Astyanax mexicanus: one gene and its partner. The protein of the gene in region 2 binds, or shares a complex with, the protein of the main gene of each other region. Links are inferred from orthologs where the notes say so. Each region holds a gene or a part of one and is shown on either strand. Other genes may lie near its edges.

Region 1 (3,754 bases), about 6.7 Mb from region 2:
GAGTGCAAAGAAGCTATATTTTACAAATATTTACAAATAATGTGCAGTACAGTGCCAGCATTCCCAATGCCAGTAACCAGTAGCTGTGAGTCTTTTAAAATAAGCAATGTGCAGTAGCACATAACTTTTTTGTTATTTCAGCCATTTCTCATTTTCTGAAAATAAATTCTCTAAATGACAATATTTTTATTTGGAATTTGGGAAAAAATTTTGTCCATAGTTTATAGAATAAAACATACTCTCTTAATTTTTTCCAATGTTTCAATATATATTTACAATTTCTATACCAACTATTTATAAAAATATGAACATGCAAGATGTTATGCTGGCATATATGGTATAACAATATACTATATTTTAAGAAAAAATAGTTTAAAACCTTAATCTGACAGCATATGTTCACTTATCACTCTAATAACATAAGATAATTTTCATAATAAAGCTTATTGTCATATAGGCTCGTTGTTACACAATACAATCTCACATCCTAAACAACAAGTGTAGAGAATAATAAGCCTGTAGTTTAAGGAGTCTGTGGTCGTCAGTTTAATGTTAATAGGATTCGGGATATTAAGGCAAGAAGCTACAGCCTGTTTATATCCGATTATTCTATTTTAAACGCTTTTGTCGGGAAAAAAAAATTAATCTGGGGAAGGAAAAGGATCCATTCATTAGCAGCAGGACTGTGTCGGAGCGCCAGTACGAGCTGAAGTTCACTAAAGATCCGGATCCGCACATGAATTTACAATCCGTGCTTTCCACAAAGCCGTTAGCGAGCATTTTTATTTGATTGACGTCAGGACGGCCCAATCAGCGCTCGCAAAGCGTCAAGTACACGTTCGCTCCCTTCCCTCGTCCAATGGGGAGACTTCAAGACGCCATACGGCTTTCTAATTCGGCCATTTTGGTGAGGTTCATTGATTTCCGTGTTTTATTTCTTTAATCGTTTATGTGTTGCAGTGATTCCTCGTTCACACTTAACGCTGTAAGTCGATGTCTGTACATCTCTAAACACGCGATTAAACCGGGTAGTCGGCTCGTTATTGTGCTTTTTATTTTCCGTCACGATTCGCAGTCCGCCATGTTTGTTGTTGCAACAGTAGCGCGAAACCAACACGGTAAAAGACTTAAACGGACTTTAACTTGATTTTATGTGTAATTGTTTGAAACACTTTGACAACAACAACAAAATCACGTGGCTAAAATCGATAGTTGCAAAAATAATCCGCTATACCCGAGCTAACTATCAGTATTGCTCGCCGCTGGTCTTAAACGAGCCACTGTTCACTCTGCCTTTTTTTCCACTGATCTGGGATCAGCTCAGTCCAACCCATTATTCAGCTTACAAACACAAGACAGGCGACAAGAGCTGTTGTGAGATCAGCGTACCTAATATGACTACAGCTCCAAACATTCAGCGGAGCAGTAGCGCAGCCTTCGCTTCCCTCCACTTCACAGACAATAATATTTTTCAGCAAAGAGACACTTTGGTAAAGAGGAGGGGCCGATAACTGTCACTCAAACCCGTGAAGGAGCTCTGCTAGCTAAGTACCGCAATATTATCCTTTGATCTTTGCTTATGTGACCTTGTTCAGTTCATTGCTTAAAATAATGAACTTTTAAGCATTACCACTACCAGGGACCATTTAAAAAATACATCCATTTTGACATAAACAAGTGAAGTTACAGTGAATAGTAGGTTAACTGAGATTGATAATTTTGATCCCCTGATTCCTACTAAACATGTTCGCTCATAACACATATAGTTCCTATGTAATAACACCAAGAGAGAGAGAGATAGAGAGAGAAGCGAAATACAACCCAATAAGGTTGTAGTTACACGCTGTTAAGCCAAACAGGATAAGCATAAAGATCTAATTACATGTGTGGTGGCTTTAACAGTGTGTGTCTGTCTGCCTGCTGGCCATCTCTCTAGCTATACGCGGATGGTGTAGAAGGAGGATGGTCTCGACTGACGCGTTTTGTGAGCACAGTCCACAGACATCTCCAGAAACCTTTTCTATTTTACAACAACAAAAAAAGCAGTATAGTCTAAATCTACCGCGTTTTGAGGTGGGGGGCTCGCATAAGTCATCCATCAGAAGAGGACCAGTCACATAAATGAGTCAGAAAGGTTGGTTTTGCAAGCGGGTTCCCTCGGTATAGAAATACTGTCCATTGTTCCAGTCTGGCGAATTAGACACAGCCTACGAATTTTTCCTCCCTCCGACCAATCAGCGCGCAGCGCCCGCCTGCAGGCCCCGCCCACTATTCTATATAATGGGGCTCCGCTGTCGGAGGAGTTTGCCACAGGCACTAACTCACCCTTTATCTTTATTATAAGCGATTTTTTTGGGATTCTTTTTCTTCCCCCCTCCTCCTTCTCTTTACATTCATTTTTTTTTCTGCGTGACCGCATCCCATTTATACACATTTTAGGCAGAAATGGCTGACACAAAAGTCGACACCAGCTCGGAAATTTCCGCCAAGGTAAGAGAATTGCTGGAATTGATGACTTACTGTAGCTTTATGATGAACGGACTTTAGCGTACAATGGGTTGATAGGTTTAGATGTGCGGGGTTTTAGAATAATAAAAAAAAACACTTTTTTTAAACGTGTGGACATATTAGTAGTAATGTAGCTAACGGTGCTGTGATGTATGTGGCGAGGGACACTATTATTCGTTTAATTGTGCGTATATTTGCTGTCGTGGACGTGGACGAACAAGGTTTTGAGTGAAGACTTTTCTGGATGAGGGAAATGTTAGCTAGCCTTAACTAACCTGCGCTCTGAAGTTGGGTTTTTTTTTTTACAGGCAGAGCTAAGATTAGCGTTGTCTCCTCAGTTACACTGTTGTAGTCCGCGCGGGTTCTTCTTTGTTATAAAGGCGTTTCGGTTCCCTCTTTTTGAAAAAAGTGCCTTTGAGCTACAGATTCTAATATCAAAACACCGCCAACTTCTGGTTTGAAGGGAGGAGGGTCGGGTTTGAGCCCGTCAGCGCGGGGGTTTATCACCGGCAGCGGCGGCGGCAGCGCCTCGTCCGGGGTTTGAGGGACGCGGAGATTTGCTGCCTCTTGTTCTGAAATGTGACAAGTTGTCTTCCGCGCCGCGCGGCTCTCTGTCTGCTCTGTCCGCTCTGTTCTCCCTGAACGAGGCCACGGAGGAGAGGGGGCTTGTTTTGACACGTTTTCTTTGGTTGTTGTAGCTGAGGACGCTTTTACTCCACGCATCTCATTATTTCTTTATTTATCCCCGTTCAGCTGCTCGTTTGTCGCAGACACGACCTGCCTCGCTGCCTCGGATTTACCCGGCTGGGCTGTTTGGCGGGGATTTGAGTTTGATGCATCTAAACGTTACGCATGTTTTCATTCAGAACTTAGGGGGGGAATAATAATAAAAAGTTTAAGAAAGCGACCTGACTGTGACCATAAGGACGAGCGGGGGTCTTATTTAAGTTGGACTGACTGGTTGGGGGGGGGGGGGGGGGTGTGGGGGGCTTGGTCTGCGCTACCGTTACCTGTCCGGAGGATTTTATTTAGCTAGCGTTAGCTGGTTTAGATGGTTCATCAGGAATACACTATACAAATGCACGACAGCCTCACGTACCCACTAGTGTTCAGCCTATACATCCTCGTGCCTCGGGACTCCAACTCTCATTCTGTGGTGCTTTCCGTCTGTACACTTGGTGGGAAGGTGGGACATTAGACTATATAATTTGCTCTGTAGTGAGAGAGAAGTGCATTCTTCCTCCTC
Region 2 (3,754 bases):
GGGTGGGGGGGTGTTGTTCTTGTGAGGTTTGTTGTGGCAATAGGAAGCTTGCTCTATTCAATTCGGAATCGATTCGAAAGAACCTTTTACATGACTGAACGATTCCTTTTAGTTTAGTATCACAAAGAAGATATTCGCACCTTCAACCACCCACTTTCCCAGTTTTGTGATACATAAGAAAGTAGTTAAATAAGTCACATCTCTATTAATAAAATATGATTTATTATTATTTATTATTCTATTATTGTTTTTTTTGTTTTTTCTAATGTTGCTTCTTTTTATACTTTTGTTTTAAATGTTCTTTTTTTGTTATTTCAGTTCAAAGTTAGTGTTCACATATATTTTAATAATTTTACAGTTTATTTTCTTATTCCGAAATGTATTTATGTAATTTGGATTGCTTGACTGATTCATTTATCTATCTATATATTTTAACTCTTACTAATTAAGCCTTAAATTGTTATTTTTTACTCTTCCAGTCTTGTTTTTTTGTGCTTGCTTTTGTTAAATTAATATATATATATTCTCTTTAATCCTTGTTTACCGTGAATACAATGTACTTTCAATGAAAAATAAGAGTTGGTTGGGTTATATAAATAAAACATGTATATATTTTAAAGATATCACTATGTCATGTATTACGCTATTATTTCATTTATTCAGTACTTTTGGTGTTACTTTTTCTTTTGACACTACTGTAGTCACGGTTATTGCAATGTTTGACCATTTATGTTCTCGATAGCTACAGTATATTGCCTATTTGAATCCGAGTCTGAATCTAGTATTTGCGAATCGACTCATCTGACTCGGTTCATGGAGAACAATTCGTTCCTGAATCGACCGTCGCTAGTCGGTCGCAGTGCTTAGTCATGGTGACTTACTGCTTCGCGCTCTCTCTCTGTCCCCCCCCCTCTCCTCTCATCTGGCCTTTAGTCAGCACTGACAGACTTCATCCTCACAAGACGCGTGAGTAGCAACCTTAAAACCTTTGCACTGCAAAAAACGAGTCGTTGTGTTTCGTTAGAGCTGCACTTTTCTGTGCATTTTCTTTGTTTATCATCGTGTTGCACGCTGAGTCGGTGGGAAGTGATTCATCTGCCCGTGCTTCACCAGAGTGCACTGCTGAGGAGTGTTTTCGAGCTTTGCCAGGATACATAAGTCTGTCTGTCTGGAACAGCACAGACCGCTAGGTAACATAGGTTAGTTTTTAGGTGTAGGGTCGCAGTCTTAGAAATCCCACTGTTTATCTAAAGCATTTGGGGCTGTGATTCATGCAGAGATCTTTAACACTGAAAATCATGGACTCATGGATCATGAAGAAATCCACTACCCATACAGTAGCTCTACTCGTTTAAAAGATGGTGCAGGTTTTATATAAGGAGTGTTTATATAAGGATTAAGCCTAAAAGATTAGATAACAATAAAATAAAAGTAAACAATAAATGCAGTGTTAAATTATTTTTCTTTACAATAATATATGGCTGTAGTGAAAGGTATTAAAGACCCACAATAATCCAGTCGGGGTTCATGGGGTTAATAAAGTGAAACACGATCGCCTACTTTCCTTATCCAGCTGACGGCATGCCTTAACTCTCTGTATTCTCTTTTAAGATGTAAAATTAAGATAAGCTATGTAGGTTAGACTGTTTTACCGAAAATTCCGCTAGCTGTGCCAGTGTTTACCTGATTAAATTAAACAAACCCTTCGCCGGTAATTGTTTTGAATAAGGTGCGCGTTGTTTGGTAAAATAACCTAGCGTTAGGTAACCTAGTTAGCTCCTAAAAGGAGCTGCTGTGGCTAGTTTAATTATTAAAGCGAGAGAAAGTTTTACACGATATACCTGTAATGTTATCCACCCTTTAGAAACGCTTCTTTAAAAGCTCTGCGGACTGAAAAGTTCAAACCTGAACGGACGAGGCTGGAGAACGGCGAAGTTTCCTGAGGTTGGTTGGCTCATTATGACCCACTCTTCAGTAGAATCGCTTCCCGCCTTGGCAGCACTGTCCCCCGCAGGGGCTCGAACTCAAGCCCGGGGATTCGCGGCCTGTGGTTTGGTTTTTGTTTAGTTTTATTTTTTACTCTCCACGCTGATATTTATTGCTTTTTAAAGTGTCGTTACAAACAGGCAAGCGACCATTGATATGTAGAGTCGACATTGGCTAAAACATTTTTTTTTACTTGTGGTGTGTTAAAATTACAACTTAAAATCGACTATTTCGCTCTCTCTGACCAATTGTAACATTTCATCAGTTTACACTAATGCTAACAAAATGTCAACAACAAATGCTTTTGTTGTATTAAGCTGTGTAGTGCAGAGAAAGACACCTGTGGAGTAAAAGTTTGTAGTTGTTTGGACGTCAGCGAGATAATTTGACGTAAAGAAAAATGTAGTCACGATGACGAGGGGGGAGTCGGACCTGATTGAAACCAACCAGTGTGTGTGCGCGTCACTGGTCTTAAATAACAGTGTTGTTCAGCTCACTACCACAACACCACATCCAGCAGCAGACTGGTTGGCTTGTTTGTGACTTGGCATATCCATGGATACTGATAAGTAACTACCGGACCTTTGGACTATTTTTTTTTAGCTCTGAACTCTCAGCATATACTGTTATATGTGTTTCTGTTGCAATATTTTGTGTGTTTTATTTTAGTTTTATCAGCATGATTAAAGTTAGTTTATGCTGTCTGATTGCAGTGTGCTGACTGTGTGTCATTTAAGCAACAGGAATGTACTTGTTGTGTCAGGACAGAATGTCCGTGATTTCACCCTGTTGATCTTTGTCGTAAATCTCTCTCGCTCACTCTCTCACTTCTTTTTTTTTGCAGGTCTTTGAGCGACCGGCAGACGAAAACAGATTCCAGGGCACAGAACTTTTAAGACCTTCAGTCCTGGCGGGATCAGCTGTGTAAAGCTGTGCTGTTTTCCTGGAGAAGATTGTCTGTACAGGCTAAATAACCTCTAGCACCTTTCACACGCCTTCTGACCTGAATGTCTGTAATCTTTCAGGCTGTCGGCTAGACTTCGAGTTTACAAACGGAGGTGAAACGGTGACTTTTAACCTAGAAAACCTTATGCTACAACGAGAGGAAATTATTTTTTTTTCCAAGTCAAGGAGTTCTTATACTTTCATTGAAAAACTCCTTTTAGGGCACTTTAGGAGCAGACTCTCTTTTTGTCTGTTTTATGACCTTAGTTTTTTTGCTTTTTTCCTTTTTTCCTTTTGCCTTTGGGTGTTTTCTGGTGTTCTGCACCAGTAGAACAGTTTGTACTGGCAACCTAAATGTGCTTGGGGCACTACAAACTGGCTTGCTTAATTTTAAAGCCAGTTCACCTAAGGCTGTAGGAGACAGTTCAAGATTTTTCCTGCTTAATAATCCTTACATAACAGCAGGATGTTTATGTTTCGAAGTAGAATGTGAAAAGTTCACCTAGGCTTTCTAATAAAGATGCATCTCGTGTTTCTTTGAGATCATAAAAGGACAGTGAATTACATGTTGATATGGAGTCTACCCGTGGACTTCAAGCTTGCAACAGGTAGTGCTTTTAGCACACTGTCAATCACTGGAAAAATTGTTTGTAGGAATTAGTCACAAGGAAGAAGGCAGCTCTTCTCCCCAAGGACCTGACGTTTGTCACCTAGCACAGCTAATTCAATGCTGCCTCTGTCATTTCCAATGCTAAGATAACTTGGCTGGGACTTGAAAGGTTGTGGGGGTTAAAGGAAAAAAAGGATACCTCCATCCTTTGTT

The links. The genes of interacting proteins can lie anywhere in the genome.
Region 1: the proteins of keap1b (region 2) and ptmaa are in contact, whole or in part, in a crystal structure (PDB 2Z32), measured with the Mus musculus proteins. The link is inferred for Astyanax mexicanus from reciprocal best matches to the Homo sapiens genes KEAP1 and PTMA. Residues at the interface, in NP_001103775.1 of Mus musculus: Tyr334, Ser363, Arg380, Asn382, Arg415, Phe478, Arg483, Ser508, Gly509, Tyr525, Gln530, Ser555, Ala556, Tyr572, Gly574, Phe577, Ser602; in NP_032998.1 of Mus musculus: Gln40, Asn41, Glu42, Glu43, Asn44, Gly45, Glu46, Gln47.

Annotation. Positions count from the first base shown.
Region 1 is NC_064412.1:25,143,947-25,147,700, forward strand, and holds the start of ptmaa (prothymosin alpha-A), read left to right. Parts: upstream 1-844; 5' UTR 845-859; coding exon 860-907; intron 908-934; exon of another isoform or gene 935-949; coding exon of another isoform or gene 950-985; intron 986-2,287; exon of another isoform or gene 2,288-2,445; coding exon of another isoform or gene 2,446-2,490; intron 2,491-3,754.
Region 2 is NC_064412.1:31,853,665-31,857,418, forward strand, and holds the start of keap1b (kelch-like ECH-associated protein 1B), read left to right. Parts: upstream 1-832; 5' UTR 833-966; intron 967-974; exon of another isoform or gene 975-1,190; intron 1,191-1,462; exon of another isoform or gene 1,463-1,944; intron 1,945-2,452; exon of another isoform or gene 2,453-2,555; intron 2,556-2,830; 5' UTR 2,831-3,754. UniProt on the Homo sapiens protein: Substrate-specific adapter of a BCR (BTB-CUL3-RBX1) E3 ubiquitin ligase complex that regulates the response to oxidative stress by targeting NFE2L2/NRF2 for ubiquitination.